Linked DNA regions of Mus musculus: all the other regions are reported to be linked to region 2. The links are microRNA targets in miRTarBase. Many come from high-throughput screens and were not tested one by one. Region 2 holds a microRNA gene; each other region holds the end of a gene's coding sequence. Distances are from middle to middle.

Region 1 (4,087 bases), not on the chromosome of region 2:
GCTTCCTCTCCAGTCTGGGTTCTAAAATATCCAGGCTTCAGTGAGCTGGCAGACCCCCACTGCACAGGCTGTGCTCAGATCCTGGGATCAGAGTGAATCTGTGGGTGAGCCCTTGGGGCCTTCAGCTAGGCTTTAAGGAAACCATCTATCTTTAAATTTGAGGGCCAGGGATCAACGGAATCCACTTGTACGTGATGCCAATTTATCCTGAGCAACACTTCTAGCCCACAAAGCTGGATACACCCTCAGAAACTGGAATACTCCATTCCTCGAATTTGGACCCAGTGGCTGCTGGAGGACAGAGCCACTGAGACTTTAGGACAGCAGGAGTTGTCACCTCGAACTGCCTTTAAAACTGCTCAGCTCAGTTAAACAGGGAGTGACTACCACATGAAGCCCTGGACTTAAGTGCTGTGCCCCAAAACATGTCACTGGGTCTTCTGACCTCAGCTGACCCATCTGTCTAAAGGATTATGAGAGAGTTCACACTCAGTGTCTTTGGGTATGTTGTCACTGTTGAAAGGTCAAAGATAGGTCTTCCAGGAGTTCTGAAGTAAGTTACTAAGAGCTGGGTTTCCTTAAAATTTAAGAGGGGGACTTTCGATGCCATCCACAAAGTTAAAAGGTGCATCTGAATGTGTCGTGGTCCCAGCTGCAACTGCCTTCCAAAGGGCACGTACAGGACAGTAAAGGCCGAGGCTTGTGGGGAGAGCAACACCAGCAAGACTGGCAGGAGCAGAGATTTCTGCTGTCTCCAGTGCTGTTTTCTCATTTGGGGCTTTGAAATCTACTAAGCCCCACAACCCCCAAACTAGGAACAAAAGATGACAGAGTGGGCTCAGGTGGGAAAAGTTTTGAAGCAGGGAAAGTGCTGAGGACATAGCCGAGTCCCCAACTGGCTGGCACATCACACTGCCTGAACTACAGTCAGACTGTAGAAGCAGTGGGGCCCTTGAAACTACTGTGGCTGTGGCCAGAGATCCTGTCACAGGTCCCTGTTCCCAATCTCACCTCCCCCAAGAACCAAGATATAAAACTTTGTAACAGTCCTGATGCTTCAGTGTTTTTATTTTTAGGAATGTATACTGTCACTTGTAAAGGGACAGAGGGAGGGACTGCATCCATCACAGCGCCAAGGCTATGCCTGGGTGCTTCCCCACTCTGCTCTTGGAGTCACTGCTAAAACCCCAAGGCCAACAAAGTCCCTTCAACTTGAGTACAGGAAATAGTTTCAAGCATTGACAATTCTTACACATGATTATTCAAGGAATGCAAGACAGCCACGGTTCAGACAAATCAACTACAGAAAGTATTAAGAGACGGTGTGGAGGGAGGCCCTGCTTCTTAAAGTAAACGTGAAGGAAGCACAGTGGGAGGAGGCTCTGCCCTCGGCCAGCGGGACTGGAGGCAGGGTCAGGGTGGGATGCGGGGGTCAAGTCCACAGAACTCAGGGACACCTTGCTCTCTTCCATCTGCAGAAACCCAGAACCACTCGTTGTCTAGACAGGATTGGGGTATGTGTGAATACCCAGGGAGGACCAGAGGGACCAAAGGAATCAAAGGGAGAGACATCTCTGTCCTTTAGACCCCAGGGGAAGAGCTCCCTGTCCAGGCCTGGAAACCACAAGGGCTCTGCTTCAGATGCAGTTGCCGGAGGGTGACACGCCTCCAGCCGACACCACAAGCATGGTGCTGCTTTCTCACTTCCACAGACGCTGGAGTTTCATAGGATGATTTGGCTGTGCAAAGACATCCCCAGTGTATTGTGAAGACACAGGTTCTTGTGTTGGCCAGATCTGTTCATAGATTGAGGAGGCAGTAGCCATTAGACTTGAAGTACGAATGTGATGTTTGCTGTTGGCAGTGGGCCAGAGGGTGGGGGAACCAGGCAGCTCTGAGGGTTAAGCAAGGGGGTGCAGGAAACTGTTGAACACACTGGCCAGCTGTCTCCAGATGGAGCCACACCATTCAGAGGAAAGAGGTGGGCTTGGTCCTAGAGGGGCAGAATGGAGCAGGGTCTGGCTGGTTGATCTGATGCTAGAACCAGATTCTACAGAGGCTCCCACATACCCACAAGTCACTGTCAGAGGGGGAGGAGTCAAAGAAGCCCATCCCAGAGTGGGAGGCCAGCCTGCCCTGCCACCTACAACACTTGTATGTAAATGAAGATCCTCAAAGGAGCAGGGCAGAGATTCCAGGGCCCTGTGCCCTGTCCGTGACCCAGCTTCTGAAGCCATCTGATAGAATGAAAGTACATTTACTAATGGAGAAGTAATATTTGCATCTCCAGTCTTTGATGCAGTTCAGAATCAATGCCTCTGGCCTTTTAGAAACATTAATTCTATGCAGGGCTTTGTCACTTCTGCTGAGACCAGAAGAATCCCAGTGCACCGGCAGGATGCTCTGCCTTTACCTTTGCCGTCTGGGCAAAGCTGCTCTGCCCACTATGCTCACCCTCTGCTTTTCACAAACAGCTGGGGCCTGGGGCCAACACCACACGTGCCCAGGGCCAGCTTCTGGGAGTGCTCATGGAGGGGCAGATGGAGGCATAGCGACATTCCATGGAATGCTGGTGCACTCTAGTTAGTGCTTGTGGACCCCTACTGGGACGTGCTTGGTTTGGGTACCTTCCTCGGTCCCACTGGCCGATTCTCAACTTCCCTGCTGCCCAGGAAGGGAAGTTCCTTGGTGGGCCAGCACGGCCTGTTACTGGGTAGGGCTTGCCTGTCCCAACCACAGTTTACCACATTCCTGTTGTTCGACAATCCCTGACCACGGTTGTCAACTCCTGCCCTTGTAAACATTTCACCAATCCTTTATGTTCACCTCTATCCTCTGGGGTGGGGAAGGAGAAACCTCATCACAGGAAGGCATCCTAGGAGGGAAGGATGACAGAGCAGGGGCCTGCCTGCGCATCTGCAGGTGACATCACTGGCCCCTGACATCATTTACAGAGAACTGATGGGATGGAATCAAACCCACAAGAGGCCAGTGCAGCAAAGGAAAAGGAGATGAAAAAAACCTCCGCAAAACGAAGCCCGAGGGGCCTGGGCTCCATGTGACCAAGAACTGTCTGTGCTACATATGGAATGGTAGCATTTCCATTTCCTTTAATCTTGGCCTCTTCCCTTGAGAAAAGGGAGGTGGGGACTTGGCTGGACCCCACCTTGAAATCCCAAAGAAAGCAGTTCTTGGTACCATCTATTATGGTTCTACCATTAAAAAAGGGGGGAGTGGGTAAAAAAAGCTCCTATCCTCTGGCCCGGTGTGATGAGGAATGCCATGACCGCCCTCTGACCCCAGGAGAAACGCGCCCCACTATCAGTCATTGGGTACTGGACAGAGGTAAAAGTTCTTTTCCTCCTGGGGTTTGCTGATCCAATTCCCATAGCCCATGTCTCGCAGGCTTTTCTTGAAGTAGTTCTTGGCTAAGTCATAGTCACGGGCAGCTTTCTTGGCTTCACCATAAGAGAGCTGCAGTAAATCTCTGCGGGCTCGGAAGGAGCAGAGCTTCTTAAACTGAAGGAAAATATTCTTCTTGGACACCCGAGACAACTCTTTCCCTGGTCTGGGGAAACAAAGGCACGTGTTATTCATCTGGGAGCAGGTGAGGTGGGGGCTAAGGTGTGGATTTTGCACAGGGTGGATGGCCCTGAACTCAGTACTAGCAGGCAGGGGCCTGCCCCTGGGCGTCTGGAAGGAAGCCTGCCTGGGCCTCTCCTGTGCCCTCCCACTCCTTACCCATCCACAGTGCCTCTGGTGCCATCCAGGATCTCTAGGTCATAGCCATCAGCCATGCACCAGTTGACGCTTGTTTCCTTGGTCTTTCCGGACTGTCTTTTGGAATCATAAACACTGACTCGGCCGACCTAGGAACCACGGGGTGATGGAAGAGAGGCAAGCCGTTCAGGGCAAAGGTTCAGAGCAGGCATGCAAGACTTCTGGGAAAGGAGTATGTGGGCCTCATCTTTCCCTTGTGAGCTGCACTGACTTAACCACTATTCAGGCTAAGGACCGAGAGTCTAAGTCCACGCACCCAAAGGGAAGAAAAGCTTGCTCTTGACTCCCCAGCAAAGGCTCCCTTTCC
Region 2 (4,087 bases):
ACCCTCCCCCACCCACCCACTCCCATTTCTTGGCCTTGGCATTCCCCTGTACTTAGGCATATAAAGTTTGCACGACCAATGGGCCTCTCTTTCCACTGATGGCCGACCAGGCCATCTTCTGATACATATGCAGCCAGAGACACAAGCTCCGGGGGTACTGGTTAGTTCATATTGTTGTTCCACCTATAGGGTTGAAGACCCTTTTAGCTCCTTGGGTACTTTCTCTAGCTCCTCCATTGGGGGCCCTGTGTTCGATCCAATAGCTGACTGTGAGCACCCACTTCTGTGTTTGCCAGGCCCCGGCATAGTCTCACAAGAGACAGCTACATCTGGGTCCTTTCAGCAAAATCTTGCTAGTGTATGCAATGGTGTCAGCGTTTGGAGGCTGATTATGGGATGGATCTCCGGGTGTGGCAGTCTCTAGATGGTCCATCCTTTTGTCTCAGCTCCAAACTTTGTCTCAACCTTCCATGGGTGTTTTGTTCCTCATTTCTAAGAAGGGGCAAAGTGCCCACACTTTGGTCTCAAAGTCATCTTTGAGAGAAGACAACATCTCCTTTGACCTGAGTAGCCCGCTACAGAGTTATCTGTCCCTGGCACTGTGCTTTGGATAGACCAATCCACCAAATGTGCAGGAAGTTTGGCCATAGATTCCCTTACATAAAGCTTATGCTTAATCCAAGAAGAATGGTATCCTTTCAGAGCAGAAAGAATCTTAAACAGCCAATAGATTACATTAAGTGAATTACTGGATTGTTCCCTGTGTCATGCAGAAAGATTTTGACTAGTATGCTAGTATGCCTGGATCATTTTCCTACACACCTAAGGGAGGGAAACACACACACACACATGACTTCTAAATCAATGCAATACCAGCATACCAAGCTCAAAACTGCAGAAGGATGAAAATGGAATATAAAACCTTTGTGTCCTTCCTTCTTTCCTTCCTTCCTCCCTTCCTTCCCAACACCTCTTACCTTCCAAGCTCTCATAAAGAAAGCCTGGACTGATCCAAGGCTGTTCTTCCAATCTGGTTTGATTTTTCTTTTTTTTTAATAATTTCCATTTGCATATAAGTAATTTAATTCACTTCTAGAGCCATATCTTCATGTGTAAAACCAGAAACAAGCGGGTAAAACAGTTTCACATAGATATGAGGATTCAAAGAGCTGGCATAGGGAAGACATTGAAAATGATCCTGTCATATAAAACTTATCTGAAAAAAGTTACTTTTTATTATTATTAAAAAGTTATTATTGTTTGTTGATTGTATGAAGCAGCCCTCACAGAGCTATGAGCCAGTTCGGGACCCTTCTTCTCCTCTTAGCTTGCTTCTCTATTTCCTGACAGAGAATTCTATGCCAAGAAGTTCAAACCCTTAATTTTCCCCATCCAGGGTGATCAGTCAGACCCTGAATGGCTCAACAGCTGCCAGTGTCCATTCATCTCCTACAGCCCAGGCCTCACAGATTGTGACGCAGGTGATTGGCCACGAGCAGCAGGGGCTGAACAAAAAAAGATCCCTTCCACAATGAACAATTGTGTTGGAATGCTCATCTGGCAGCTGCAGCCTGTCAGCATATTCCAAGCAACCCAAATAGGAAGTACAATAGCGCCTGGGCCAGCCTCTAAGCTGAGCAGTTCTCCACATGTTACCCCTGTTTTAATGTTCTATTAGTTCCATAATATTAAGGAGGAAGAGGGGAGGGGGGATGGGGAGGGGGGAGGAAGAGGAGGAGGAGGAGAAGGAGAAGGAGGAGGAGGAGGAGGAGGAGGAGGAGGAGGAGGAGGAGGAGAAGGAGAAGGAGAAGGAGAAGGAGAAGGAGAAGGAGAAGGAGAAGGAGAAGGAGAAGAAGAAGAAGAAGAAGAAGAAGAAGAAGAAGAAGAAGAAGAAGAAGAAGAAGAAGAAGAAGAAGAAGAAGATGAAGAAGAAGATGAAGAAGAAGAAGAAGAAGAAGAAGAAGAAGAAGAAGAAGAAGAAGAAGAAGAAGAAGAAGAAGAAGAAGAAAAAGAAGCATTTTCAAATCCACCCTGCAACCTGCACCCTGGTAATTATAGTGATAACACAGGTTGCCTGGCCATAACTACGCTGAAATCTCTAGTGGCCTTTGGGGGAGCCTTGGGGTCCTTGATCTCAGACTGAAGTGTATAGGGGGAAATTTGTTCCCAACAAGCTCTGCCTGTTAGGCCAAGATGGCACCTTACTCCAGGATAGTTTCTGGGAGTGTAGAATGGATGAAGTCAGGTCCCAGAGATTCTTCACACTTCTCACTTGTGCAAGGAAGAAAGCAGCTTTTCCTTCTGCGTGACAAGTGCCTCGGAGGACACAGCTTCCCCAGGCCACATGCTTCTTTATATCCTCATAGATATCTCAGCACTATGGAATGTAAGGAAGTGTGTGGTTTTGGCAAGTGCTTCTTCAAGGCCGATGGCTCCACCCAGAGAATATGCTGTTGACTTCTTCGTTCCTTGGCTACATTTTCTTACCTGCAGGTGCCCTCTTCCCCAGAAATCTACCTCTACAGACTTCTCCCACAATACTGGGTTTCAGGTCAACTATGCTCCCCATCCTAGCCCCTTTATACCAACATCCTTCACATCTACTCTCAGGGAATCAGCTCCCGGGGTCCTAGTTCCTTCCTCTGCTCATATGGCTCCTGCAATGGATGTTTCTACCAAGCAAGCTCAGGGATAGTTCATGGTGCCAGGTGTGTGACTTGTGTTATAAACAGAGAGTATACAACTACTGGGCTCTGAAGAACACCACCCTGGTAGAAGGCTCCACATCTCCTGGCCCTGCTGCTGTTCTTTCTACTTCACAACCCCATGTCAGTGTGTTGCTTCTGGGTCACACTGTCTGAAGAAAGATGGGGGTCCTAAAATAGTGCTGCAATCATTCAGTGGCCTAAGTTCCTTTGTTCTCAACCCAGTGCCCTGTGTTCCCAGTTCTGACTCTAGTGTCTAAGCTCATGTCATGAAGGAGGTAGACTCTAGAGGGAAACCGAGAAGAGGCGCTGTAGTGATATGCCAGATGCAGGCTAAGACTCCATTAAACATGCAGCCTGAGCTCTTACCCAAAACAAAATGAAGCACCATGGCATTTGAAGACTGGCACCATGCCCAGAAGCCCAGAATGGCAAAAAAGGAAGATAAAGGATATGTGTATTTCCTGGACCCTCAAAAACATCAGCATACCGAACACACTGGGCAGTGTTCATACTCCCAAGTGAGATGCAGCCACACTGGGGACCACTACATCCCTCTTTCAGGAACCAGGTAGTTCCCTAGCTACCATCATGAGCATGCCACCCTATTCTTCTGGGGATAGGTGAGAGTGTGGAACAGGGGTGGTGGATGGGGGGAGATTAATAGAGAAGGGCCAGTTAGAGGACTGAGCATAGGATCGTACCACTGTGGATCAGTTCCCAGGAAGTGGGTAATTTGGAAAAATTGTTGTCACACTTAGGGTATTCCTGGTGTCTAGGGTGTGGAGACCAGGGGTGCAACGAAGCATGTATAGTGTACAGACCATCTCCATAGCAAAGAAGTACCCAGGTCAAAATGTCAATGTGTGAAGATCGAGAAAACCTGTATTTATTAGTATGGTGTCCGACACTGGCATTTTCCAGGAAAAAAAATCTCTGTCCTTTCTGTTTTAGACTTCAGTCTTTTTTATATAAAATATCTGATGCTTCAAACTGAACTTCTTTCCATTGACAGCCTATCTTTTTTTCTAACTAGCCCATGGATTTTTTTTTCTACCCTGGTGTTTGGTTTCATGTCGTTCTGAAATCAGAGATATGTTATATAGATGGCTGTGTTGCTGAGGCTGGATCAAAAGACATGGGCAAACACAAGGAAAGAGTTGGGGGAGCTGTGTTCAGAATTCTTTTTCAGAAATAATCTCAGACAGCCAGGCTGTCTCTGCCCCTGCAGTTGCCTGGCTTCTTGTTCCCTAACATAAGCTGTGGACAAGATAGACATGGGAGGAGATAGAGGGCAGGAGTCACAAGACGCCTATCATTAGAAAAAGGACAGTGGAGAAGGTAAGATTGTGACAGCCAAGCCAAGAAGATTCACACCAAGG
Region 3 (4,087 bases), 57 Mb from region 2:
CCCTCTGTTGCTTCTTTGCTTTTCTTTTGAAATTCCAGTCTGATGTTATCACAGCAGACACGGTGTAATCTCTCCTTCTCCTGTCTTCTTCCTCTCCTTCCTTCTTTTCCTTCTCCCTCCCCTTCCTTTTGCTGAAACTGCCGTCAGATGTTATCTTGGGTGAGGTCATGTGGCTGCCACTTTGAATTGGGGTCAAAGCCTTCAGAAAAGCTCCTCAATGGCTGTCTAGAGACATAAAAGTTGGCCTTTCAAGATCTTGCGCTGTTTTTGGGGCTGCCATCTGTTTCTGCCCACATTTTAACTTCTGCTCTGCCCGTCATCATTGCAGGTAATGGGACTTCTGACCAACCACGGTGGGGTACCGCACCAGCCTCAGACCGACTATGCTCTCTCCCCTCTCACTGGGGGCCTGGAACCCACGACCACGGTGTCAGCCAGCTGCAGTCAGAGACTGGAACATATGAAGAATGTGGACAGTCTGCCCACATCTCAGCCCTATTGTCCCCCCACCTATAGCACCGCAGGCTACAGTATGGACCCTGTCACAGGCTACCAGTATGGGCAGTATGGACAAAGTAAGCCTTGGACGTTCTAGGGGGTAGTTCCTCCTGGAAGGGAGAGAGATCACCTCTTGCTTGAGAACGGGGAACTGGAGGCATGTTTAAGCCTTTCATCCCAGTATCATTTTTTTGTGGCAAAGACAGCTGATTGCTACAGCACAGGCTCCCTTGTGTAATTATTTGCTTAACTGATGTCAATAACATCTTGCAGTTATTAATTGCTGGGACGGAAAACCGGATTGTCAGTAGGTAAAACACAGAGGTTGGCCAAAATGAAATAACCTCTAGCATTAGAAACACATGTTCTTAATGAGGTCAGCGCCAGGATCATATGGGGATAAGCCCAGGACACAGAGTTGTGTCAAACTTGTCTCAGGAATAAAAATATTAGTCTCGATCCTTTGATACCGTGGTATTAAATATGACATTGTCAGCCTGTAGCTGATCTTGCCCCTAACTGTGAATTGTCCCAGCATGACCTAAAAAGCTGCGTGTGTTTCCTTACAGGTGCCTTTCATTATCTCAAGCCAGATATTGCATAAGTGAACTGTCCACTTGGAGCCCTGTTTCCGGCCTCCACAGACTAGACATGAAGAATCTTCTCAGAAACAAAACAATAAAAAAAATTTAAAAACAAACAAAAAATAAATGAAAAAAAATTCAGCTTTTGGGGGAGGTGGAGACAAAAGAGATTGATTTTCTTTCTCCAGTAGTTGCTTTCAGATTCTTTGAACATATTGGACAAAAGGCAGGGGAGACAAGGAAGACCCAGAGCTCTAAAATGCACCATTTTTAAGACAGTGATGTAACTGGCTACATATCAAAATGGCCCCAAATCTTTGTTGCTGATCAAAGAAGCTAAAACATTCCGTGTGTGTGTGTGTGTGTGTGTGTGTGTGAGAGAGAGAGAGAGAGAGAGAGAGAGAGAGAGAGATTGATTTTCACGGGGTGGTTTGAGTAAGCAGAATGTTCCCATATATTGTAGTTGAATTCCTGAAAGTTAACAGGTTTGATGTCTAAGGCTGACCAAGTTTATGACATTCACACTGCTTATGTAGTGAATTGGGAATGGAGAAATCCTTGATTTTGACACACTGGAAACCGATATGAAAACCAACACCACCATTGTATAGGGCACTAGACTAGATGTGAAGGATCTCCCCAGTAAATTATTACCATACCTTCATTTGTAACCTAGTTATCAACCGATGTCCCTGACATGTCTTGTAAAAAGATGTGGGATAATGAGAAAAAAGTGTGTTATCTGCTGTGGGGATAGATGGATGTCATTTACTTCCCAAGTCACATTGATTTGGAGGCCAGTTGGTGGGGGGGGGGGAAGGGTATGATGTAGAGGAAGTGACACCCATCACATATCTGCTTCTCAGCGTGCAATACTGTGTACCTCACAGATGCTTTGGCAATGGCCAAGGTGATAGAAATGAAATCAGAACTATATTTTTGCAGGTGTTTTTATTTTTGCAGCCCATAACTCATCGTAGTAGAGTGCAGTGATGTTTGCTCGTTGCCAAACAACTCACATCCTGCTTGTTCCTTTTGTTCAGAGACCATGTCTGAGAATCAAGCTCTCTACAGAGATGGTGTTTACATTCGTCTCTTTTCTACAAAAGGCAGGGCTAGAACAGAAATGTCCACGTGGCTCTCATGTACTTTTAAATTATACAACGATACCCAATATTAAAGGATATAGGGAACAGGTTTACATACATTCATGTGGTGACATTTAGGATGTCAATAAATCTGTGTTTTGAAATGTTAAGAGAAAGATGAAGGTGGGCGGTGCTGTTATTTATTTCTTTCTATTCTTGGAACCATGAATGAGGTAGGCACAAATACATTCCCTTTAGATTTAAGAACAATGAGGTAGTGTGTTAGCAGGACTAGACATAGAACTGAGTTATTTTATACGTTGGGCAGGGTGATGGAACAGGAGACATAGTATCTTTGTGTTGCAGCCTCAACCAACAATGATGTGTTGTAAAAATGTCTTTCATGTAAAAAGTGCAGTAAATATTTACTATTTATAATGAATAAACAGTTAATGAAAATGTGCCCAACACTGCTTTTGTGTGTGTGTGGGGGGGGGGGGGGTGCTGAGGATGGAATGCAGAGTGAATGAGAAAGGTGGCTAAGCTGGGCACTGTGGACCCATCCTACTCCTGGTCCCTGGTACATGAGACTGTGACATGGACAAGAGTTACATATAAACCCAAGACGCTGGCTTAAACACACTCTGCAGGACTGAGTTTACAATATCAGGGATGTGGAATCTAGAAGTGCGCCCTCCCTCTCCATCTACCCTCTTTGGTTTCTTTGGTTCTCTCGGAGATGTCAATTCCTTTCAGCCTCATTTATAAATATGTATCTCAGTACACCAGGATCTAACTTCATCTCCCAAAGTTCTCCACATTGAAAATTTTATTTTAAAGACTTTTGTTTTAGCAACTCATTTCAGCCTTGGAAGGAAATAGTCTACTTCTGTCATTGTTTTCCTTTCCTTCTCTTCTTCCCCTATTCCTCCCCACACTTATTTCATGAGAGTCTAGATGTGGCAGGTGTAACACTAGACACTGGCATTGCGACGGCACAACGTGATGAGTCAGGGGGTTGAACTTCTGTTTCAATACATTTGGATGGTTACTTATTATAAGGCGATTAATCAACACCTACTAAACTCTTGTATTCACTTACTCCTCTCAATGTCTCATGTGATGTCATTTCAACTGTGTGACAATCATCTGTAGCAAGAAATTGCTGTATTGGGTAGCATTGATGTAGAACATTCTAGAACGTTGTGGTAGGGAGTTCTGTTGGTCAGCTGATTTAAAACACATGGGATTTTAACTATCCAGAGGAAATGATATACAGTAGGTAAAAGTTTCCAAATTTTAAAAATGCCTATACTCTTTTCAGCTTCCACTTGCCCTTCTGATCCACCATGTTGCTCTTTTTCTGACAATTACTTTTTTTTAAAATTTAAATAATACAGTTGTAGAAAAGGAAGATAATTGTCACCAAACACTTGCTTTTTGTCAGTTCTCACAGGACTCCTGTGAGGTGAGTGTCTTTTGCTCTGTTTTACAGCCAAGTGGACCCAGGTCCAGAGTTGTTAGGTTAGGCTGGGCTCATACCGCACGTAGGAGCAGCAAAAGCAAAGCTCAATTTCTACCAAACGTCGGAGTAGGGGCCACATAATTTTACCTCTCCAAAAGCTGCTTCAGATACTCGTTGCATTATACGAGTCTTGTGCCAAAACCCAAGTTGAAAACAGGCATTTAAAAAAGTAATTCCTTCTCGGTGCATGGAGACATGCTGCCAGGACTCGGATTTCACAACAGAAGCTGGTCTTCCCAGGGCCCTCTCCTGCCTGCCTCCTGACCCCAGGACCTGCCATGTGGGGCCCAGCTCTCCTTCTGATATATGTCTTTATGCCCTTCTCTTATTTCTGGATGTCTTCGAAACTATTGCTCTGTTGGCAGTTCTCATGTTCAAAGTCTCCATAGATC
Region 4 (4,087 bases), not on the chromosome of region 2:
TGCTTTGATATCTGAAATTTATTGATTTCTGTTCAATAATGACATGAAACTATGCTATGATTCCATTTACAGAAGCTCAGTAAAATATACTGAAAAATACTTACTATACCACAGTAAGCTTTAAAAAAAATAAAATTAAGCCATTACAGTTAAGTTACAAAAAAGGTGACAATACCAAACATGGCTAACAGTAGCAATCTAACTGGGAACACAAGACAAGGAAAAAAATTTCAACATTCACTCACTTAACATGGTAGTCTGAATTAAATTCCTAACAGTGTGAGGAGGCCAGCTTCATGGGTAGTTTGCTATGCTATGCAAGCTGAGATCCAAACTCACAGTTTCTAAGCTAAAATACTTAGTATCACATCTGAGCAGGGAACAAAACAAACTGAGCCATCTTGATGTATTTAAATTTCAACATCTCTTTACAGCTTTCTGCTTTTTTTTTTTTTTTTTTTTTTGAGACAAGCTATCATTGTGTAACTTTGGCTGCCTAAACTTGGTATTCTAGACTAGGCTGGCCTCATACTCAGAGATCCTTCTGCCTCTGACTCTTGAGTGCTAGGATTAAAGGCATGCATCACCACGCCTGACTCTTTACAGCTTTCTTAAGGCAATGCCAAACAGAACCCTCCTAGTAAGCAGTTTTGAGAAACTATGGTACAGGGCCTGGCACACCCTTCTCTGCTTTCGAACGGCTCATGATATGTGCAAAGCATACCATGCCCCGAAGAAAAGAGAAAGTGCATCCCTACCAGAGGAACTCTGAAGGGCACAGAGCTCTGTTTCTAGGGGAAACATGTTAGCACATTTTGTTAGTTGTTGTCCAGAGCTGGCTTCTTTAGTCCACAGCAGGAAAACAAACTATTAACAGTTATACCTCAAGCAGCTTCCCCTTAAGAAATTGCCCTTTAGCCAAACACTGAGGAGAGCAAGCTCAGAAAAGTCCACAAGAGTGCTACTTGAGACTTCATATGCTTCTTACATGCCAACCCAATCCCTGGTATAGACACCTCAGCTGGACCATTGCCACACACTCTAGCAAATATGCTTCAAGTATTCTACCTTCAAAAAACAAAACAAAACAAAACTCCTAAAAAGAACTTTTCTTTGGTGGGAACCATTTCCTTCAGTGCAACTTCTCAAGTGAACACAAATTCTACTGTACTCTGTCAGCACAAGGAACATGTCAGCAGCCAAAAGAGGGTGAGGAGACTCTGGCAATCCTTCACATGTCTGTCCACTCACTGTCAATCTTTGTTGCTAAAAATCAATTTTCCTTCCGGTCCTTCAAGAGCAAAAGCCAACAAGTATAAGGTCATAGCAAACAGTATCCAGGAAGAGCTATGTGAGCCCCAGTTTCAGCTACACCTCCAACAAGAAATTTGACCCCTAAGGTCTCTGGCTGATAGAACAATGACAATGGCTGTCTCTCAGAGCTTAGTTTTCTTGGGGGGAGATCACAGAACATCAGAACTATGTCACACTGAAGTTCCAAGATGAGAGTGACAGTAAGCTATCAGTGTGGAATGGAAGGACCACTATGCATATTCCAAGCACAAGGGCCTGAGAAGGCTGGAAGAAGGGGACAGCCTAACCATAGAGCAACCCCGAAAAGCTGTGATACAAAGACACGAGGAGGGCAGAGGCAGAGACGGAGTGAGTGTCGCAGTGCAGCCAAGGAGGAATCTGTAGTCTAGATTATAACCTCAGACAGAAGCTTCAGACCGGGGCACATTCTGGAATGATCAATGTTTCCAAAACTGGTAAGGTCAATTCAGCTGGTTCCTAAAAATTAGCGGAGAGTATACCTAGATAATTTCTTTAAAAAAAAAAAAGTGGACTTCTGTGATGATAAAAATGTTTTTAGTTTATAGTGTGGAGTTTTCAGATGATTAGAGAAAGTGAAGGATAGATAGAGAAACGTAATAGATACAAGAGAGAAACTCTGGTTGTGTGACAAGCAGACAACGTGGCTGAGTTATTTAGCAGAACTGGGTTCTTGGGAAGGAGGCCAAAAAAAACATGAGCGTCACAGAGAGGATAAAGAATGGATGGATTTATTGAGACAGTCAAAGCAACAGAGACCTGGGTACCCTCCTCCATCCCCATGAGATAAGGCAAAGGATAATTTGCAAGAGACAACCAGAATGTCAACATGCATAGGCCCCGGCATCCAACATTATTACCAAGGGTTACAAGCTGTGAAAATGAGCTGCTGAATTTGGTGATCTGTTAACTGAGTAAACCTTGAGAAACAGGAGGAAATCAGACCAAGGCAACCCTGCAAATGTCAGGAAGAGGATGGAAGGCAATAGAAGCAACACCAACTAGAACAGGATAGGTATGGGCGTGCATACAGGCTATAAGGAAGGTGTTCATTCAGAGATGTACAAACAGGTCTATAGAGAGGAAGAAAAAATGGAAGTGGGGAACTAAAGAGGTGTTAGGAAAAGCTAAAGGAGACTGAAAAAGGCTTGGAAAAAAGTAACAGACTTGTGGACAGCTGAGACAATAGTAGCCATGGCCTTATTTCTAGAATGCCACCTGCCAAGAATACATACTTCAATTTCAAGCCCATGCTGCAGTCAGCACTGGAAAAGACCTCCAAGACCATTGCTTCCTTAGACTGATTTCCCCAACAGCACAGGACTCATACTTTTCTTCTTCTCGTTCTCTCTGCATCCCTGAGATTAGCTGAGACTTTTCTCTCTTTAGGCGTAACCATACAGACTGGAATAAAACGCTAGACACAGCATAATCCAAGACATCTTCAGTTATCTCAGGGAACCTATTTAGTTTCCTACAGTTTCATGACCAGATATGACAGGATAGGAAAGATTTTCCTTATTCCCTGCACATCTTAAACAGCAAGGAGGAGTGTGAAGAATGCAGTTAGTTTCTAAATATCTATCTACTGCGGGCAATAAAAGCAAAACTCAATTTGTAGAAAACCTCTTTCCTGCATACTAAATCCCTCCTATGTGTTTTCTTCCACAAAGCATGAACCTGTCCCTTTCCAGGAAGTTCCTATTGGGGTGAATGTATGCAAGAACACACTTGTTCAATGATCATTTTTTTAAAAAATCCCATCAAACAGTGATTTTACTTTCAGAAGCCTCGAGTCCCTTTTATGCTAGTACAACTAGCATGCAAACTTTCAGAGAAATATACAGACTATCAGATGGACCAGACTTTAACACTCTTTAACCTGCTAGTTTGGTTTGCAGCTGAGCCTTCTGTAGAGAATAAGTATTCAACCCCATCTCTGCCCATCAGTATCCCACATAACCATCTACATCTTGTCTAGAAAGCACCTCTCTACAGTTTGCGCCTAGAGTTGCAAAGATAAAGAGGCTGTGGAAAGGTGGTCCATTGTGTGGCCTGCCTAAGGTGGGGTCTTCCTTTGGTCACATCCATTTTTCCATGTGCTTCTTCCGTTTGCACTCCAAGGAAGAAAGGATGATGGAACACGTCAGCATACAAGGAACACAAAAGTAAATAAAACATCACCAGAGGAGAGTGTCATCAAAGTGCCGGTGCAAAACCTGAAGCTATCCCATCTCTGCCAGCCCAGACTTGCCACCAAACCCCAGAGGAGGTCACAGTCTTTTCATTTCTCTTCATTGGGAACAAATCAGCAGGGAGGACACGGTTCTTGCAGACAAAGTAAAGATCAAAGCTGAAACGAGAACAACACACTCGGTTGATAACACTCATCTTTTTCAGGGAGATATGTCAGTAAGACAAAGTCATCCACCGCCATTAATAAAAGTGCAGGAGTCACAATAGTGAGTTTTAAAGTCAATTAGAAATAAGATATGGTGAGATGGCTCAGTGGGTAAGAGCACCCGACTGCTCTTCCGAAGGTCCGGAGTTCAAGTCCCAGCAACCACATGGTGGCTCACAACCATCTGTAACAAGATCTGACGCCCTCTTCTGGAGTGTCTGAGGACAGCTACAGTGTACTTACATAAAATGAATAAATAAATCTTTTAAAAAAAAAAAAAAAAAAAAAAAAAAGAAAAGAAATAAGATATGGACCTGAAAGTTGTACATTTAGCTAATATGGTGGCTCATGATC
Region 5 (4,087 bases), not on the chromosome of region 2:
CCCTCTTAAACCATAAAACAGTTAATTTAAAAAAAAAAGTCTCAGCCAAGCCGAGCAGTGGGGTGCACGCCTTTAATCCCAGCAATTGGGAGATAGAGGCCGAAGAGTGAGTTCCAGGACAGCCAGGGCTACACAGGGAAACCCTGTCTGGGGGTGGGGGGAGGTGGGGAGTTGGAGAAAGAGAGTCTCAGCCAAGATCCAGTTTCCTACAGGCTTTGACCTTGAGTAATGGGGTTGTCTCTTGTCTCCACAGTTGATTGTAAATGATAAGAGCCAGAATCTCCGTAGACTGCAGGCACAGAGGAATGAGCTGAATGCAAAAGGTGAGAGGGGAGAAGATAGAAAAGTCAATGTTGGTTTGAGGCAGGGTTTAGGTGTCCCCATCTTTGTGCAGCGCTCAGTCTCCTCTCAGTCGACAGTGTAGTCTCACTGTTGTCTGTGGCTGTTTCCCGTGCACATCTCTTCAAAGCCCTGCTGGAAGCCCTTTTCAAGTCTTAAGTTCTTTCATCCCTTCCAAGTGTTAAAAAAATGGTCCTTCGGTGGCTGATGTTTCTTTAATGGTTTGGGGGTGGTTGTTGTTTTTAGTTCGCCTGTTGCGGGAGGAGCTGCAGCTGTTGCAGGAACAGGGCTCCTACGTTGGAGAAGTCGTGAGGGCCATGGATAAGAAAAAAGTATTGGTCAAGGTAAAAGCAGCATGCCGCCGCGGCCAGGCTCCTAGTGCTCCCTCCCTGTCACACTGCCCCCAAGCTTCCCTGCGGGAATCCTGGTTGGGGTGGCTATGCTGACCACCGAGGGAGATCATAGCCCATTATTATTTTCTCAGGTCCATCCTGAGGGCAAATTTGTTGTTGATGTGGACAAGAACATTGATATCAACGATGTGACGCCCAATTGTCGGGTCGCTCTAAGAAATGACAGCTACACTCTGCATAAGATCTTACCTAACAAGGTGGACCCTTTGGTGTCACTAATGATGGTGGAGAAGGTGCCAGACTCAACCTACGAGATGATTGGCGGCCTGGACAAGCAGATCAAGGAGATTAAAGAAGTGATCGAGCTGCCCGTGAAGCACCCCGAGCTCTTTGAAGCACTGGGCATCGCACAGCCAAAGGTACCGTCAGCTTTAGCCTCACACTGACCACAGCCAGCAACAAGGTTTCCAGAGCAGTAAGCTAGTTTGAATACACAGTCCAGGAGAGGCATCTCCCTCACCTCAAGCAAGGATCCAACACAAAGCCCTCACGTGGGCATGTTCCGTAAGAGAGTTGCCCTTTTCCCCTGAGTGTAATGTATACTCTCCCTCTAGGGAGTCCTGCTCTACGGACCCCCAGGCACTGGGAAGACATTGTTGGCCCGCGCTGTGGCTCATCATACAGACTGTACCTTTATTCGTGTCTCTGGCTCTGAACTGGTACAGAAATTCATCGGGGAAGGTAACTGGCTAAGACTGTGAGGAGTGAGTGGAAGGGTAGATGGTGGGGTGCACATAGCTCTAATGCCGGGTTGGCCTTTGCATAGGGGCAAGAATGGTGAGGGAGCTGTTTGTCATGGCCCGAGAACATGCTCCATCCATCATCTTCATGGACGAGATTGACTCTATTGGCTCCTCACGGCTGGAGGGGGGCTCTGGAGGCGACAGTGAGGTACAGCGCACGATGCTGGAACTGCTCAATCAGCTGGATGGCTTTGAGGCCACCAAGAATATCAAGGTGAGATGGTATAAGCCTTAGACAAGCCAGCGAAAGGTGTGAGGCGGATGCAGGCCTACGAGCTGTGTAGCTGATCCCACTCCTTCTTTTCCCAGGTTATCATGGCTACTAATAGGATTGATATCCTGGACTCTGCCCTGCTTCGTCCTGGGAGGATTGACAGAAAAATTGAATTCCCACCCCCCAACGAGGAGGTCTGTGCTGGAGGTGCCTGGAGGAGCTCTGGCTATGGAGACAGTGCAGGGCTTAGGGCTTTCTTCTCTTATCCCTAGGCCCGGCTGGACATTTTGAAAATCCACTCTCGGAAAATGAACTTGACCAGGGGGATCAACCTGAGGAAAATTGCTGAGTTGATGCCGGGAGCTTCAGGGGCTGAAGTGAAGGTAACTGGAGGCTTCAGGGGAGCAGGGCAATAGCAGGAAGCCTTAAGAGCCAACTCAGGGCTAAGGGGCTCCAGCAGCAGGGTCTGAGCTTCTCTGTCCACCTAGGGTGTGTGCACAGAAGCTGGCATGTACGCCCTGCGGGAACGGCGTGTCCACGTCACTCAGGAGGACTTTGAGATGGCAGTAGCTAAGGTATATGTGCCTCCACTTGTCTGCCTTTGCTGTGGTGGCTCTGGAGCAGGGGTCACGCTTGTGTTCACAGTTCCTAAATCCCTGCTCACCCGTGTATATGCACTCTCTTCTCTCTCCCTCTCCAGGTCATGCAAAAGGATAGTGAGAAAAACATGTCCATCAAGAAGCTATGGAAGTGAGGCTGTGTCCTTTGTGTGCTCCCCCCCCCCAACCAATAAAGGTCTGTGTGATGATAAACACTACAACTCCAGTTTGTTAATACGCGGTTGCACTGTTCAATGACCAGGTCTGGGCACCACCAATAAACAAAAAGATTTATTTGGAATTTTCCAAGTTTGCCAAGCCTTAGGCCCATCCTCTTTAAGACCGACTGCAAAAGGTAACAGCAGTCCTCCAGCTTTCCCCTTCCCCTGCAGCACGCACGCACGCACGCACACACACCCCTGCTGTAACTGGGTTAGAGAACTGGCATTGCCACTCTCAGGAGATTCCACCTCCCCCTGCCCAAGCAGCTATGGGTGGGCAGCCTTGTGGCATACCAGGAGATGATGGCGGCTGCAGCCGCTTGCATAGATTAAGAAAAGAAAGGAAGAAGGAGGCACCAAGTGGGCTCCCTGAAAAACCCCATTACCTCTGTACAAAAAAGTGGCTCCCACATAGAAAAACCTGCTCCCCAAATAGTGCAAATACCCAAAAAGAAGGACAAACCAGCAGCAAGACTGGGCTTGTAGGAATGGCAAAAAACTTTGGTTAGAAAGGCCAGGAAGAGTCTAGGGCCTTCTCTTCCTTGCCCAGCTCCCCAAAGCCAGCTCTGGCACTGGCCCTAGGGTGGAGCCTGTAAACATGCAAACCCAGCAGCCTTTGGTTTGGAAATGTCTGGTACAAAGTTAAAGCACAGCCTCCAGCCTCCTACTCAGGCCTGCCTGCCTGCAGGGGGCTGAGGCCGCTCATTGCAAACCCAATTAAAGCCAGCGCTAAAAGGTCAGTAATAAGGCTTTGGGAACCAAGCAGTGAGGGATCTAAAACTACATTTATGAAACTAAAGCTGGGGAGTGGAGGGTGACAGGAAACACACCTCACTCCATCCTACATGTCTGCAGCCCAAGCCAGAACCCAGAGGACGGGCTCTTGCCAGGTTCCATCCAGGGCAGGGGAGGAAGGAAGGAGGCAATCCCTGAGCAGTTAGGTCAGGCGAATTCCCAGCACCTGTTCCAGTTCCTGCCTTCGCTGCTGCACCTGAAGAAGACGACAAAGCAAGCCTCAGGCTTCAGCTTCTCAAGAAAAGCGGAGGCCAAAATGGCAAAGCCTCACCTTGGCAAAGATGTGCCTCCCCACTGCTTCCTGAGCCCAGGGCTGGTGGTAGAAAGCAGCTCGTCTCTCCTCCTCAGGGTTTCCAATCACATCTGTGATGATCTGTGAAGAACGAGGGGTTAAGGTGTGTGTGGCACGATTCCCACCCCTGCCTCGGTCAGTCTACCTGAGACATGGGGTAGAAAAACTTTTACCCACTATGTTCCATGGAATACCCTTCAAAAAACAAGAAGTATACCTTGAGGTCTCGGCGTTGGGAACGGAGCCACTCCTGGATGAAGTCCTGGGGCTCGGTGCTAAAGCTGAGCATGAAATCCCTCTGGGTCTTTAGCTGGTTGATGGACTCAATGGTCTCATGGATCTGGAGAAGGGGTGTCTGTGTCAAATGTGCTCCAGCTCTAGGGTCTGAGGTCCTGTCAGTGTGCTGGGTGAAAGGAACAGACCAACTCACCCTCACCCTGGCCCCAAAGGACTCACCTTGACGTCAAGAGA
Region 6 (4,087 bases), not on the chromosome of region 2:
AGAAGCCTCGTCTGGCAGTTAGGGGCAGCAGGAAGTAGGAAAATCAACCTTCCCTTGTTTTTTTAACTTTCTCTTTCCTGGGTGCCTTTTGCACTCTTGGGCGTTGGTGGCCCTGACAGTGGGAGGGAGGAAGTATAACAGGCTGGTTGGGGTGCTTTTACTTTGGGGGACAGTCTAAGGCTTCTCCACAGAATAATGCTGTCCAGTTTGCCCAGCCCCCAGACTCATCCATCAGTAGGTCTGGAAGCCCTGCCTCCTGCTGGACACTCTGAGAGGTTGACCCAAGCAGCACCTCAGCCAGATATGGTTCTCAGCACAGCTGTCGCTCAGTACCAGTGTGTCTCCAGCACTAGTCAGTGCTTATGTGGTCAGCCAGACCTACATCTGCTAGAGCTGTGTCTCCACTGAGTTTTGTAACAGTAGCCACTTTCTCTAGTATACAGCTTGGCTGAGACATTCAGGTCGTCTGTAGTGGATGTGAGTCTGATGGTGGAGGCTCACATCTGGTGGTGACATCAGAATCAGCACACCAGATGCAGAGGCAGGTGGACTTCTGAGTTCACGGCCAGCCTGGGCTACAAAGAGCAATCCTGTCTCAAAACAACTAACCACACCAATAATAATAATAATAATAATAATAATAATAATAATAATAATAATAATAAAGTGCTTCTGGGGAAGTCACCCAGGGGGCCATTGGATAGAGGCACCGTCTGCCACCCTCCGGTCCTGTTCTGTCTCCCTGTTGGAAGTACTCAGCCAAGAGCCACTACTTTGCAGGGAAGTGAGCTCCGGAGTCACAGCCATAGCCTCTCAGAGGATGGAGTGGTGCAAAGAGAAAGAAAGAGTCGTCACCTGAAGCAAGGCCCCGCCCTTGCCTTCTCGGCTGAGGATGGCTGCACTTTGTATGTGCACTTGGGGAGGCGGATTCTGGAAATGTTGAAACTAACGAAATACTGATTAATGCACCACTTTTGACAGTCAGATTTGAAATGGAAAAGCTGCCGTAGTGGCTCAGAGCCATCATTCAGAAGCGGAAAATAGCCAATTTCTCACATTCGTGCGCCCGCTCCGAAGGATTAATTATCAACACACGCAGAAGCAGCGGTACAGGACAGCTTGGCAGGGTTTCCAGGACGCGTGTCATCGCTGCTTCCAGCCTGGCCCATCACAGTTGATTAGAATTTTAAGGGATTTGAGACCCTGGAACCTATATCAGTGCACAGAAGTCTAGAATAGATAGGTGAGCAAAAAAAGTGCCGTTTTTATATTTCTGGATTCAAACCACTGCTGATTTCCATCACATTGCTCTGGGGGTAATACTGGCTCAACTGGATGAGTTTCTGGATGCAAACCGCAAGCACTTGAGCTCAGTGGCTTAGCACAAAGCAAACACCAGCACACAGAGTGTGTGTGTGTGGCGTGTTCCCAGCACCCAGTACTCCACCTTCTCCCCTCCAGGGCAATCATTCTCTGGTGGCGCCTAGGGGTTTGTCTCTTCTGTCTGTTGCTCTCTCTCCTGGGCTCTCATTCTTTGTGCCCTGTTTTGCTGTCCCATAGGCTGTCTTGCCTTGTTCGGGCAGTTCTGCAGGTGAGCCAGGCCTGCTTCCTGTGTACTGGGTTTGGTGTTATTTTGTGTGTTTTCTTTTGTGAGTTCCAGGACAACTAAGGCTACACAGAGAAACCCTGTCTCAAAAAACAAACAAACAAAAAAAAACAACAACAATGATAATAATAATAATAAAATTTTTAAAGAAAAAAGTAAGTTCTCAAAATAACACTATTGAGTTTTGTAGGTTTTTTTTTTTTCCTTTTGGTTTGTTTGCCTGTTTTTGTTTTGAGTCCCTTTATTGGTTCCAACCCAAGATTCAAAAATTGAAACCACCTGATATGATGATCAGTTTTGTCACAATGACAGAACTTACAAATCACCTGGGAACAGAAGTTGTCTACATCGAGTTGACCTGAAAGAATGTCTTTAGGAGATTGTCGTAATTAAGTCAAATTAATGTGGGAAGACACTGCCTACTGTGGGTGGCATCATTCCCCAAACAAGGGTTTCTAAACTGTTTAAGAGTGTAATGATTCAGCCCGACACAAGGAAGCAAGCATGCATCCACTCACTTCTTTCTCTCTGCTCTTGACTGTGGTGTGATGTGGTGAACTATTTTAAGTTCCTGCCTCTTCTTCACAATGTTGGACTGTAACCTGGAATATTTAGTTAGGAAAAAGTCCCTCTGTCCCTTAAGTTTCTTTTCTGTTAGGTATTTGCTTAAAGCAACAGAAATGAAGCTAGATACCTGACCAAAAAGGAGTCAAAGGTGGACTGACAAAGCACATGGCTCTGCCCCAAGATGGGAGTTCAAGTTAGCCCTGTGGAGGAAGAGGCCCAGAAACCCCCACTTTGGACCTTGCACAGAAACCAGACACTTGGGTATTAACTATTCCTTTATTAGGTGGTAAGGGAACTGAGAAGGTGAGGGTTGTACAGTGCAGGACCTGGGAATTCAGCTACAAAGGACTGTGACCAGGTGCCATATTACAAAAACAGCCTAAAAACATTTCTATTAGGCAGGCTGAGCCAAGAGAACAACAGGAAGAGGGAGAGCCACTCCCACCTTCTGCCCTGTATTTACAATTAGAAGTGGAATGCATACAAAATACATCTCCCCTGACGTGCCCCCCCACCCCAGGCCCTAAAAGGTGAGCCAGGCTCTGGGAGGTGAGCCTGGAGTTGAGGCTTTGAGCAGACAAGACCCCTTTCCCAGTGAGTCTACACGTCTTATCTGGAATGCAGTGAAGTGAGGAAGGGGAATGGGGAGGGGAAGGAGGCTCCCAAATGTCCCCTGACCCCAGGGGAGGGTGTGCCCAAGGCTGGCTACTTGGTACATACGAGGGCCACATACTCAGTACGTGGAGCCCTAGTCATATCTGTGTACTCAGTACACAGAGTCCGGATTGGCCAAACGGGCCCACAGACTCAGCCCCACGGGGGCGCTGGAGGAATTTGCAGCGGGGGGAAGGGAGCAACTCCATATATATATTTTGTAAAAAATAATAATAATAATAAGTTTGTTTAAATGAATTTGTCTCTATACAAAATGTAAAAAAGAAAAAAATAATAACTCACTCTTGTCAGAGTGTGAGACAATGAGAAGCAGAAAGAGGGGGGGGAGGAAGTTGAGGCAGGGAGAGGGATCAAAAGGAGGTCCCAGATCCCTTAGGGGGCCAAGGTGGTGGAAGGTCAGCCCCTACCCATTATAAATAAAGGAAGACTGGGGGTCTGGGCTGGTGACCAACTTGGTCACACTACAAGACAGAGAGGTGCAGGAAGGCTGGGACAGAGAGAAAGGGATGAGAGTAAGATTAAAAAGGAGGAAGAAAGAAGTCATAGAGGAGTGTCACTTCAGCACCCCTCAAATCCAAGAACTTAGGCCATCACCTGCCTCTTGGGGGTAACTTCTGGTTGGGGTCCCAGCTGAGTCTGGGACTGAGGGAGGGAGGGAACAGATATGGGGTGTGGCTGAGCAGGCAGGGCTCCAGAGGCTGTGGCATTGGTAGCAGTTGCTGGGCTAGGTGTTGAGTCAGACCAGTCTGAGAGGGATGGGGGGGATGGGCTGGCCCAGTGCTCTGGGGACTCAGGAGACGGGGTCAAATAAGGATGCTCGCTGGGAACCCGCAGGAAGCGGGCCTTGGTGGGGCTACTGCGGGTTCCTGCTGCAGGATATTCCTCTCCATGTCCTGGAGCAGCCAGGTAGGGTGGGGGCCGCTCTTGGGGAGAAACTGGGGCTCCTGGGTTGAGCAACTGGGGTCCCGGAGCCAGGGGCAGCAGGAATGAGGGCCCTGGAGGGGCAGGTGGAGGCAGCCTGGCCCAGTCGAGGGGAACAGCTACAGGATTGAGCAGACCAAAGCTGAGCACACAGCCCCCAGGAGGCTGGCGCCCCAGAGGACCCGCCCTACTTGCGCCTAGCTGTGCCAAGGACACCGCGGTGGCCGTGGTGGCATAGGGGCCCTCCAAGGGGAAGCCTCCAGGGGAAGCAGGGGGCCCACTGAAAGGCCGTGGTGAGTCCAGAGAGTCCACCGGTGA

What was found. The annotated mature microRNA mmu-miR-206-3p reads UGGAAUGUAAGGAAGUGUGUGG and lies in region 2 at 2,381-2,402, shown strand. An mRNA with a match to its seed (bases 2 to 7 or 8) in the 3' UTR can be bound and repressed. Matches are read on the target gene's strand: a 7mer-m8 pairs with bases 2 to 8, a 7mer-A1 pairs with bases 2 to 7 and ends in A, and an 8mer does both.
Region 1: the mRNA of Adar is a reported target of mmu-miR-206-3p. Seed matches in the 3' UTR shown: 7mer-A1 at 3,086-3,092, 7mer-A1 at 2,563-2,569 and 7mer-m8 at 1,076-1,082.
Region 3: the mRNA of Pax3 is a reported target of mmu-miR-206-3p. Seed matches in the 3' UTR shown: 7mer-m8 at 1,424-1,430 and 7mer-m8 at 2,416-2,422.
Region 4: miRTarBase lists Tgoln1 as a target of mmu-miR-206-3p. Seed matches in the 3' UTR shown: 7mer-A1 at 1,744-1,750 and 7mer-A1 at 1,529-1,535.
Region 5: the mRNA of Smarcd2 is a reported target of mmu-miR-206-3p. The part of its 3' UTR that is shown has no 7-base or 8-base seed match.
Region 6: miRTarBase lists Notch3 as a target of mmu-miR-206-3p. Seed matches in the 3' UTR shown: 7mer-A1 at 2,788-2,794 and 7mer-A1 at 2,646-2,652.

What each region holds. Positions count from the first base shown.
Region 1 is chr3:89,750,410-89,754,496 of GRCm38, reverse strand. Adar (adenosine deaminase, RNA-specific) reads right to left here. Exons shown (of 15, transcript NM_001146296.1): 14 at 3,742-3,869; 15 at 1,042-3,568. The coding sequence ends at 3,322. Chrnb2 (cholinergic receptor, nicotinic, beta polypeptide 2 (neuronal)) reads left to right here. Exons shown (of 6, transcript NM_009602.4): 6 at 1-1,049. Among named protein-coding and RNA genes, the nearest start is that of Chrnb2, 12 kb to the left of the region's middle.
Region 2 is chr1:20,676,675-20,680,761 of GRCm38, forward strand. It overlaps Mir206 (microRNA 206), which reads left to right and starts at 2,336; the gene lies at 2,336-2,408. The region is part of intron 2 of Lincmd1 (long intergenic non-protein coding RNA of muscle differentiation 1); the gene reads left to right.
Region 3 is chr1:78,099,816-78,103,902 of GRCm38, reverse strand. Pax3 (paired box 3) reads left to right here. Exons shown (of 8, transcript NM_008781.4): 8 at 329-2,636. The coding sequence ends at 595. Among named protein-coding and RNA genes, the nearest start is that of Pax3, 95 kb to the left of the region's middle.
Region 4 is chr6:72,608,426-72,612,512 of GRCm38, forward strand. It overlaps Tgoln1 (trans-golgi network protein), which reads right to left. Exons shown (of 4, transcript NM_009443.3): 4 at 1-3,685. The coding sequence ends at 3,680. Among named protein-coding and RNA genes, the nearest start is that of Tgoln1, 6.5 kb to the right of the region's middle.
Region 5 is chr11:106,260,600-106,264,686 of GRCm38, forward strand. Smarcd2 (SWI/SNF related, matrix associated, actin dependent regulator of chromatin, subfamily d, member 2) reads right to left here. Exons shown (of 13, transcript NM_001130187.1): 10 at 4,073-4,087; 11 at 3,834-3,956; 12 at 3,596-3,697; 13 at 2,572-3,520. The coding sequence ends at 3,467. It overlaps Psmc5 (protease (prosome, macropain) 26S subunit, ATPase 5), which reads left to right. Exons shown (of 11, transcript NM_008950.1): 3 at 254-323; 4 at 586-683; 5 at 824-1,111; 6 at 1,307-1,433; 7 at 1,519-1,709; 8 at 1,805-1,903; 9 at 1,982-2,092; 10 at 2,198-2,284; 11 at 2,410-2,513. The coding sequence ends at 2,463. Among named protein-coding and RNA genes, the nearest start is that of Gm23645, 2.4 kb to the left of the region's middle.
Region 6 is chr17:32,118,390-32,122,476 of GRCm38, forward strand. Notch3 (notch 3) reads right to left here. Exons shown (of 33, transcript NM_008716.3): 33 at 2,431-4,087. The coding sequence ends at 3,431. All of the region lies in intron 1 of Gm38585 (a long non-coding RNA gene), which reads left to right. Among named protein-coding and RNA genes, the nearest start is that of Gm38585, 7.3 kb to the left of the region's middle.